Arabidopsis thaliana: one gene and its partner. The protein of the gene in region 1 interacts with the protein of each later gene in a pairwise test. Each region holds a gene or a part of one and is shown in the gene's direction. Other genes may lie near its edges.

Evidence for each region.
Region 2: the proteins of AT5G67610 (region 1) and SEC22 interact in a protein complementation assay, tested with the Arabidopsis thaliana proteins (one large-scale study listed by BioGRID).

What each region holds. Positions count from the first base shown.
Region 1 is NC_003076.8:26,960,239-26,965,683, reverse strand, and holds AT5G67610 (transmembrane protein (DUF2215)), read left to right. Parts: upstream 1-2,045; 5' UTR 2,046-2,069; coding exon 2,070-2,175; intron 2,176-2,312; coding exon 2,313-2,562; intron 2,563-2,663; coding exon 2,664-2,821; intron 2,822-2,890; coding exon 2,891-3,036; intron 3,037-3,121; coding exon 3,122-3,181; intron 3,182-3,277; coding exon 3,278-3,370; intron 3,371-3,497; coding exon 3,498-3,659; intron 3,660-3,736; coding exon 3,737-3,843; intron 3,844-3,964; coding exon 3,965-4,113; intron 4,114-4,194; coding exon 4,195-4,460; 3' UTR 4,461-4,753; downstream 4,754-5,445. Other genes in the region: AT5G67620 (DUF4228 domain protein), read left to right, coding at 1-216, 305-486, 680-793.
Region 2 is NC_003070.9:4,008,760-4,013,912, forward strand, and holds SEC22 (Synaptobrevin family protein), read left to right. Parts: upstream 1-1,997; 5' UTR 1,998-2,131; intron 2,132-2,300; exon of another isoform or gene 2,301-2,714; 5' UTR 2,715-2,749; coding exon 2,750-2,937; intron 2,938-3,224; coding exon 3,225-3,385; intron 3,386-3,476; coding exon 3,477-3,623; intron 3,624-3,771; coding exon 3,772-3,848; intron 3,849-3,992; coding exon 3,993-4,076; 3' UTR 4,077-4,345; downstream 4,346-5,153. Other genes in the region: AT1G11880 (transferases, transferring hexosyl groups), read right to left, coding at 1-144, 511-706, 819-911, 1,040-1,145, 1,229-1,568; AT1G11900 (Tetratricopeptide repeat (TPR)-like superfamily protein), read right to left, coding at 4,407-5,153. UniProt on the Arabidopsis thaliana protein: V-SNARE involved in vesicle trafficking from the ER to the Golgi complex and required for early secretion. Involved in endoplasmic reticulum (ER) biogenesis and functions as well as for Golgi-stack integrity. Essential for gametophytes development.

The sequences.
Region 1 (5,445 bases):
TGATTCATCACCCGGCGGAGAACAAGGTGGAGAGGATTTACTGGTCAGTGACAGCGAGTGACATCATGAAATCCAATCCTGGTCATTACGTTGCGGTGGTGGTGACGTCACCTACGATGAAGAACGAGAAAGGTTTGCCACTGAAGCAGCTTAAACTCCTTCGTCCTGACGACACTTTACTCATCGGACATGTCTATCGTCTCGTCAGCTTCGAAGGTATATATATATACACTCTTAACTCCATTTCTCTGTTTCTGATAAATAAAATGATCTATAAAGCTGTTGACAATTTTATATCATGCAGAGGTTTTGAACGAGTTTGCGACGAAGAAATGTGTGAAGCTTGGCAAGTTATTGAAAGAAGGAGGAGGGCTTGACTTGACGAAGAAGAAGACGAAACACAGGAAGAAGAAGCTGGATCAGGAAACGGGCAAAGTCAACCCGAATTCGGATCCGAATCCGAACCAAGATGGCGCTGATAATGCGGTAAGTGCATGTTAATACTCTCATCGTCCAATTTTTTCTTTTTAACATTTAAAATGGATCCTTAATTTTAGTTCTAGTTGTGACATGATGAATAAGATATTTATAGATGACTGTCCTGGTCACATTACTCTGATCGCTTTATCCTTTTATCATTTATGTACGAATGCTTAATTTAATTCGACCGATCTTATAGGTCGCCGGAGAAAACGGGGGAGATGGGTTTATGAGGAGGAGCCACGGTGGAGGAAGAGGTGGTGGTGGGTGGAGGCCAGCTTTACACAGCATTCCGGAATTTGGATCCTCATGAGAGCTCTTGATCAAAAGCGTAGATATTCTTAAAGCAACTATCATCCGACAACATTGAAAGTTTTATGTAAAGCGATGTTACTGTTTTCTGTGGCTTTAATGAGATTTCAGTCTTCGACAAATGTTTTCAAGAACTCTAATCGTTTTTAACCTATTAGATACAAATATAAGGCACATCCACAATACGAATTTCTTCGAATTTTCGCATCCAAATGCAAAACGAAATAGTTGGTTGAAGTATAATTTTCAGGTATGCATAATTTATTTATCAACCGATAATTGAATTAGGCTCATCTTTAATGGAAATTTAAAGTGGAAAAAAGAAAGAAAAAGAATTAGGCCCATTCAAACTTCATGTTTTGTGACATGATTACTTCCAACTAATTGTATATTTGTTTCAATCCAACACTGTTTTTTCCTGCTTAAATGTTGTCTCATGTATGTACCGGACCTACTGATTGTATAACCGGATTTTTTTTGTTTGCAGATTCAAGATTCCACAAATCATTTCTTTCCTTAAACAATGTATGTAATAATGAAAAGTGTAAACCGACAGTTCGTATACGTTTGGATATCGTTGTTTGTGTTGGACCTAATTGGATTTTTACGTCATACCGTATTATCCAATCATAACGTTTCATGTGAGGATGTTAGAATTAAACAACCAGTCAAGAGTCAACTAACTTGAGCGAGTTTTAAGGCAATGGTAATAACTGGATAAACTATAGTTTTACATTTTAATTTGTAAGAAATGTAAATGTAGTATGCTTTTAAAATATGGTTGGCAGATCATTTGGTCGGCCTTTTTTGTCAATCATAGTTACGCAGTCAATAATTCAATTAATCACTAATGCATCATTCCATTTTGTTCAGTTAAGTCGACGTAACGTAATTAACGGCTCAATCATTTTCAGTCTCTTCAATAGTCCACCATTAATCATCCAAGCAACCATATTTTCTAAGCATCACGCATTGGACGTAAAATTATTTTTTCTTCACTAAGAAATAATTCAGAACTGGGTGACAGTCTGACAGAATTCGTCTCGGAAAGCTGAAGGTTTAAAGAGAAAGCCAATATCACACTTGAGTTTTTAGAATTATTATAAAAGAAAATGTTAAACTCTGTCATTGGGCCACATTAGGCCCATTTACAAGGCCGACAATACACGGTTTTTTATATTCTTTGAATTTACCATAAATACCCTCAGGATTTATTCTAATTTGCTTTCCGCGCCCTGAAACTTTTTTTATTCCTGAAACCCACAAGGAAGAAATCGATGGGTGATTATCGTCTTCTACGAAACTCCGGCGTCGTTATCGGAATAATCTTGCTACATCTCTTTACTTTCGCCTCTCTTGTTTCATCCGATGAACTTCAGTTTGGTAAGCTTTTCTAATTTTGTTGGTTGAAATTTAGGGTTTATATCGCTTAAGTAATTTTGAGCTCTTGAGTACTCGAATTTGAGTGCCAGAATTCTACTTTTCTTCTATGACCCGCTTGGGGATTTCTCCGCTTGAAGGTGTTGTGGTTAATTTCTTGTGGCCTTATGGGACAGTTGTGGGAGAAAGCGGAGAGCTTCAAGTGACTCCTAGTTTAGAGGTAAAAGGTTCTCCTGGATTGAAGCCAGATAGAACCTCTCTTTGTGAGAGGATTCATATCCATGGACTTGGAAGGTTTAAACATCTAGACAAGTATGCACATTCGCTCAAGTTGATAGTTAACGCGTCAATCTCTGGGAAAACAAATAACATTGACGTTTGCTTTCACCGGTGAGTCCTTCGTTTATCTTTTGCTGTTGGACTTAAATTCTTGATATTCCTGTAAGTTCGTTGGTACATAATAGATATCACTAAATGTTGTATGTTTGAAGGAATTTGTCGCGTGGAATTGGAATGTGCCCTCATAGTCGATGGGAGAAAGCCTCTAAAGGTTCATGGGTTCAGACAATGTCACCCTTCGACCATAAAATCCTTGATGTTAGAGTACCTAGCTCTAACAAGGTCTCATTGGAAGTGTCTGCTGTAGAAGGTGCCTTTTCTGTTTCCTTTTATTGCATTTTCTTTTCTCTTTTCTAAGCTATCTATTTTCTCTTTGCAGAATTATTTATGCATCGCATAGTATTCTTACTCCTTGGTGCTGTATTACTGGCTTCGGCTTCTACACTGAGCCAATCTTTAGCGTTTTACTACAGTAGTGCAATGGCTGTTGGTATTATCCTTGTCGTGCTGCTTGTTCTCTTTCAGGTAACCTCATTTTGTTTATCGTGTTGACCTGTAGAAGAGAGTGTATTAACCCTCTGATTTCGCCTTTGTTATGTGATGTGTTCAGGGAATGAAGCTTCTACCTACTGGACGGAGTTCGTTTGCATTGTTCATATACTCAACCCTGGTGATTGTTGAATAATTCGTCTTTTCTCTTGCTCCCCTGTTTTCTCTGACCTCCTTGTTTTATCTACCACTCACAAGATTATTTCCTTCTTTCCAGCTTGGTTTGGGTGGTTTTCTTCTTCGCTACTTACCCGGATTGTTTGAAAGTCTGCTAACAGAGATGGGAATCGACGAAGAAATGTACACACCTGTATGTAAGTTTTGATAATGTCAATACATTGCAGCTGCTGTAATTTTAGCGTGTTTCATGCATCAGTCAGCATTTGCTGGTTAAAAAGCCCATTTTAAAGATTTAATCTGCATTTTGGTTTTGCAAGGCGGCGATTTTTGTGGGGGCGTTTCTGTCTTTGGGTGGAGCATTTTTTGGATTTTGGACTGTGAGGAAACTTATTCTGACGGAAGATGGCTCCATTGATGTTAGCACATCACTATTTGTTTCTTGGTCCATCCGAATTATGGCTGCTGTTTTGATCCTTCAGGTTTCTTTCAGTGTCCCTCAATCTATACTTATCCTTTTAACCAGTTGATCCTTTTAACAAGAATTTGTTGTTTACAGAGCTCTGTAGATCCTTTACTTGCTGGAGGAGCCCTGATATCTGTAATTCTTATGTCATCGACTTTAAAGAAGATCACCAGATTGAAGTTCCTTCTACGCTTATTCGAGTGAGTTGTGACCAATCTCTTTGATCTTTTTCCTTCAACAAACCAAACTATGTTTGATTATACAGCATCCATATCCCTGAAAGTGTACAGTTTTGAATGTAAGTTGGTTTCTTTTGGACAGGATTCCATTGAATTTACTGCTAGGAATCTGGGAGGCAATTCGTGATACTGATATACCATCCGTCCCGGGATATCTCCATGACTTTATGCAAAAGAGTCCTGATGCTTCTGGATTTCGCAACCGTGTAACTTCTGCTTCTCCATCAGGAGGTTTGATTTGTTATCTCTATCTCAAATTACAAATTAAACAAGTTGAAACAAATAATAAGCTTGTGTAATGATTCTTTACAGGAATCAACAACGGGATGCGAGAATCTCCACCGTCTGAATCAGATACATTTCCTTCCTCTTTCCATAAAACTCCTGAAAGGAGCCAACTAACAAAAGAAGAATGGAAAAAGCTCACTAAGGATAGCACGACAAAGGCTGTTCAAGAATTGGTTTCTTCACCCGATTTTGGCAAATGGGCAGCAGTTAATGCGGATAGGATCAATGTAACACCAAGAAAAGGATCTTCTAGCAAAAACCAGCCACGGAAATGGATGCGTTGGTTCTGATTTCTGAACCAAGCCGGTTTAAGTTTCATAACGTTTAGAGAGAAAAGGAACTCTTTTGTAGAAAGAGAGAGAGCCTTTGTAGGTAAAGTTGCTTTCTTCTTTTATGACTTGTTCAGTGTTTTAGCTTTTTTTTTTGTGGATGAGACCACGATTTGTTGTAACGATCCTAATTGGGTTTTTAGGTTGCGTCATGTTTGTGTGTAGACAATGCAATGAGCATTCTTTTTCCTTTTATGATCTTGAATGGGTTCAACTTTTCATGGTGATGTGAATCTTTTAGTATGGATATTAATATTCGAATATTACAATATGATTATCTATGACATGGGAATATGGACTAACATGTGGGTGGATAAAACTCATATTTTTCTCGAATTCTGAAATTCTCTCAAACTTTTATTCAAGCGAGGAAGTTGTATTATATTTGGTTTTCTTCTCCTATTATGATAGTACAAGGATAACGATGGATATTGAAAAATTGACGGAAATGTATTCATTGTATTAGCAAAAGAAGAGGGTAAATTATGTGTCAAATAGTGATTTTAACTTCATAGTAACTTAAACTTTTTTTTGTCAATTTGTTGACATAATTTGCTTAATTCTTTTGAATTTGAAACATATGATGCAGCATTTTGGAGTTAGAATTTAAAACAGTGTAAATTTATGATTACTAAGAACCCCTTTTCTGATATTTTTATTCCATAATTAATGATTCTAGTAGTAGAGTAGTTGAAATTAAATTCTTGTACGGTCAAGTTTCTAGCACATTAGAAGAAGATCACCTAATTTTCAAAGAAATTTAATCGTAATCTTTATGATGCAAGAAAGACTTTATTTAAAGAATATTTCCTTTATTTTCTGGTTCCTTTATTAAATTAAAAGTATATATCATTATTCCTCACCGGCATAGCTTCGTTATAAAGGAAAGGAACAGAGTTTGCTTTTAAACAAAGAGAGAAAGAAAAAAAAGCTCAAAGAACTCAGA
Region 2 (5,153 bases), on another chromosome or scaffold:
AATCCTTCCTTTGCACCAAGGCCTCACTTCATCACGCGTATGTCCATGGCAGATGTTATAGTATCCGTATGCTTGAAATGCGACAAAAGGAAGACAAATGCATATGCATCTAAGAAATCCAGCAATAAAAACCTGCATAGCTAACTGGGTAGCGAGAAGAATCATTAGGCTACCATACCTTTAAAGAGTTGACAGCAAGTTAAAGAGACAGGCTTTAATCATTACATGATTAACCAAGCAGATGTGATTTGAGACATACTAAATCAAGAAACTATTCCAGTGCAACCATGAACTAAAGAGCATACCAGCAGAACAGTTAAGTAGGAATCCATCAGATAGAGATATAAAGAACAAAGTAACTAAAAATTGTTCGAGTTCTCCTTTTCTATCTTCTAGAAGGATCTTAATTGTAGGAAATAGAATGTTTCAGATTAAGCATACTACCGAAAAAATCCGGAGTTTGAATTGCAGCAATAGTTCTGAAATTTGAATGAAATATGTATAACTTACATAAGCACGCCGTTTCTGATATAAAGCTTCATATGCTCGATGCATTGTCTGGAAACAGATATAACCAGCATTAAGAATTCCATTGGACCTTGCACAGCCTGAGAGAGCAAACCAAAGAACGCCTACATTGCTGGTACCAGATAACAAGTGATACACTCCTCCAATAGAGAAAAGAGCATACAAACTTTCTGAATATCTGAAAGTCACAAAGAAACAGTTTGGTCTTCAGTTAGTTACCATTCTGATAAGACTGAACATATTTACTTTCAGCAAATGAACTTAAGAGATCATTGGCTTAAACACATTACATTGACGAATAAAATATGGACGCCGGATTGAAACAGAAGATAATCGAAGCTCTGAATGATGCTTCAGTATCCTTCAAGATAATAACTGAAACCCTGTTAGCAACGACTGGTGTAAGACACGGTGAATAGCAAACAGCATTAGCTTGTAGAGCTCAAAAGACTCTTGACTTGACTTATTTCTAGACACAATAATCGATTTAGGATGAATGTCAAAGAAGTACCTAAATAGATAGATAGCAGCAAATATGAACGCCAAGTTACTAACAGTGAAACCAGACAACACCATCACAGCTCGAAGACCAATCAATGGAACCAAAGGCGCAAAAACTGAATCCAAAAAGAATCAGTTACTACCGGAATGATACAACCAAAGTAAGGAATCAAGTGGGTAGATGTCTAAATTACAAAACCTGTGCGAGAGAGAAGCGAGATGAAGAAAGGAAGCAGAGGCAAGAAGGCGTAAGTCTGCTCATACTCATAGCCACACTCTGTGATTCGGAGAAAATAAACACTGTCCCAGACAACACTGTTCTCAAGGGATCTCGAAGCTGCATTGGCTACTAGAAACGGAAAAGAATCTTCTTTGTGATACAAGCAAGGAGGATTCAGTGCAGCGGATGTATCGTACGGTTGGAGTAAGCTCCGCCACAAAATGGTTAAGAAGAGAACGAGAAGTCGCGAGAAGATGGCGTATTTGATCAAGATGGTTTCTTTCCTTGATTTCGAGTTTGATTCCAAAGCTTTCGCCATTGATCACGAGCTCGTATTCGAGTATAAAAAGGCGACAGATGGTTCTCGATTGCAAGAGTCCGGTGACGATTTGTGATTTTCGATCTTCTCGTCGGAGAAGAATGTGTTACTCTCTAAATGTAAAAGAGAGTTTCAATTTAATAAATGAACCGGTCGGTTCAATAAAAGGGAAAGTCACCGGTTTTAGAAAATTGTTCCGGTATTATCCGGGTCATTAAGACGCTTTGATCGGTTCAATCCAGTTTTAAAAACGCTAAGATGAATGTAGCGTTTGTGAAGCTAATTAAACGAGCCACGTCATCAAGACATGTCAACAAAACGCGTCATAAGCCCAATCACGTGAGGGCTGGTAATTGGTAATCGCAAAACGTAGATCGCCATAAATTAAATTTCGAACAGACAAAAAAAGAAAAGAAAATCAATAAATAATCATTTAGTCCCTTTGTTTGATAAACCCTTTAATTGAAAAAAAAAACAAATTACTTCTCTTTCCTTCGATCATCGTCTTCCTCTGGTTCTCAGATCTTTGAATCGAGCAGAAGCAATTTTAAATCTCCTATCAGGTTTCTCTAAATCCATGCTCAAGTCTAATTTTACGTTTTACATTTGTTCAATTTTGTATGAGATTTGCTTCCGTTTGGGATCGGAACTTTGAGAACGTTCTGAAGATATTACTTTACTGTGTAGCTCTTGAATCAATTTTTCCGTTTGATGTCTTGTATTGATGTTGTTATTAGATCGTTAATTTTCTTTCCGTAGATGATGAATGTGGATTATGCTGAAATTCGTTATAAACTTTGGATTTGATGGTGGTGAATTGTCACAATGTAGAAAACGAAAGCTTTTGATTATAGAATTTTCTTTGAGGTTGATGTTCTCTGCTATATTTGAATCTCACGTTTGAATAGTTCGTCTTGTTCAATATCTGAATGCAAATAGAGATAAGCTATTTCGAACACTCATTGTTGAAAAATCAAAATAATTCATCTTCTTAGAGTATTGTGTGTTCTTACAGAACCCAAGTTTTAAGCATCTGTGTTTCAATTACCTGGCTTACATGTTCTGTCTTGATGATAAATATTGGTTTTGTGATTTTAGTGAGTTGCAGGATTCATATTCTTGTTTTGAAATTTGTGATAATTGCAGTGAATTTTTATTACTGGAGAAGTAATAAGGCAAAGATGGTGAAAATGACATTGATAGCTCGTGTTACTGATGGGTTACCTCTAGCTGAGGGGCTCGATGATGGACGTGACTTACCGGATTCAGATATGTATAAACAACAGGTCAAAGCTTTGTTTAAGAATCTGTCCAGAGGTCAAAATGACGCTTCAAGAATGTCCGTTGAAACTGGCCCCTATGTTTTCCAGTATCCTTAACCTCTGGTTTTTTCTTCATTCCTTATTAGTTCAGTTTCTGCTGCAAAAGTTTGTTGATTGATAGATATAATAAGGATTGTAGAAAGTTTACTTTGATTTACTTAAGATTCACACTTTTGACATCCTTGTACATTTTTACCAGTTTTTGGCTTAGTACACGTTTCAATCCTCTTGCATTATGTTTGAAATCTACGTTGTCATATTAGTATGCTTGTATCTCAAAGCTAAAGTTTAAGAAAGACCAGATATGTATGCTTCCTTGACCAGAAAACTTTAGTTACATCATAGAAGGACGTGTTTGCTACTTGACAATGTGTGACCGCTCTTACCCAAAGAAACTCGCTTTCCAATACCTGGAAGATCTCAAGAATGAATTTGAACGTGTCAATGGGCCTAACATTGAAACAGCTGCTCGGCCTTATGCCTTTATTAAATTTGGTATGTGTAGTGTAGATTTTTCTGTACATTCAGTATCTTGGAAACATACCTCTCTGGATTCACTCTTTTTCCACTTTGCCTTTTTTTGTAGATACATTCATACAGAAAACCAAGAAACTGTACCAAGACACTCGTACGCAACGAAACATCGCCAAGTTGAATGATGAACTCTATGAGGTTCATCAAATAATGACCCGGAATGTGCAAGAAGTCTTAGGTGTTGGTGAAAAGCTGGACCGTAAGTCAACATCCATTACTTCTCCTATGATCATTATTTAAGCTTTTAGAATAAGGAGAAATGGAACACTAGTTTTGCGTTTGTTATAATCAGCTGAGCAATATGCTTATCATTTGCCATTTTCTCTTCTTGTTTTTTCTTAATGCAGAGGTGAGCGAGATGTCGAGCCGGTTAACATCTGAATCTCGTATATATGCTGATAAGGCTAAAGATTTGAACCGTCAGGTGAGTTTGATTGTATATTACCTTATATTACACATTGCAACATTGATCACACGGCTATGAGATGCTCTCATTCCTTGTGAGCTTGACATATTGTAGCTTAGATAGTTAACATATGGTTATGAAACATTGAATTTGGTTGACCAGGCTTTGATCCGAAAATGGGCACCAGTCGCAATTGTGTTCGGTGTAGTCTTCCTCCTTTTCTGGGTCAAGAACAAGCTATGGTAAAAAAAAAAGGAGGAATCTAAGGCTATTTTCGTAATTTAGCGGACTTCTCCAGACATATGTCGACCTCCCCTACCGGACTCAAGTCTCAGATTCCGGCACCCAAAATATCTTCTTTCTTTCAAAGAGAAACTTTGACACATTTTGTACTTCTGTAGTATGCAAACTTTATGAGACTGGTCATAGTATCATCCATTATACTCTTTTCAAACCTTCATTGTCATTTTCTCAGGCTTCTTTTAAATTGAATTAGAACCACAATTAAAGTAAAACGGATTGGGTTTGATTTCATACATATATCTAACAAAATCTGAAGAGTTTACACAGGCTATTTTAGCGTCTATGTGACCTCAAATGTCTCTTAAAATCTTGTGGACCAGCCAAATCTAATGAGGAAGTGTTCTTCAACTCATCTGAAAGCTGCAATGCACTCTGAAAATCTCCTGACTTCTTCAGACAATCGATTAAAGCTCGGTAGACATAAACCGATGGTCGAATCTGTCTCTGCTTCATCTCATCGAAAAGCCTCAACGATTCCTTAACGTTCCCAGATCGACCCAAACTGTCTATCACCGCTGTATAACTTAGCAAATCTGGTTCAATTCCACATTGAACCATTTCATTGTATATCACCAAACACATATCGAATCTACAAGCTTTCCTCATCCCGTTTAACACCGTGTTGTAAGTAATGATGTTTACAGATACACTACAATCTTCCTTCATCGTTGACAAAACCCCCAGAATCTCATTCACAAGGCCAGCTCGTCCCAAGATATCCAAAACCGAGTTATATGTGATCACATCTGGTTTACATTCCCACTCTTTCATCTCCTTAAGTATCATAAGAACCTTATCGATCTGTCTAGTTTCAGCAAATGCAAAGATGATTCTGTTCATTACTATTAACCTATACGGAAGTGAAGACTCTGATATCTCTTTAAGCAGACTCGTCAAATACGTGCAATCATCCGTGTTAATGAATGCTCTAGCAAGGTTGAGATAACAATCTGAACTCAATGGTTCCTTACCCGGCAAGATCAAGACCTCTCTGAAGACTCTACAAGAAAGCTTCATATC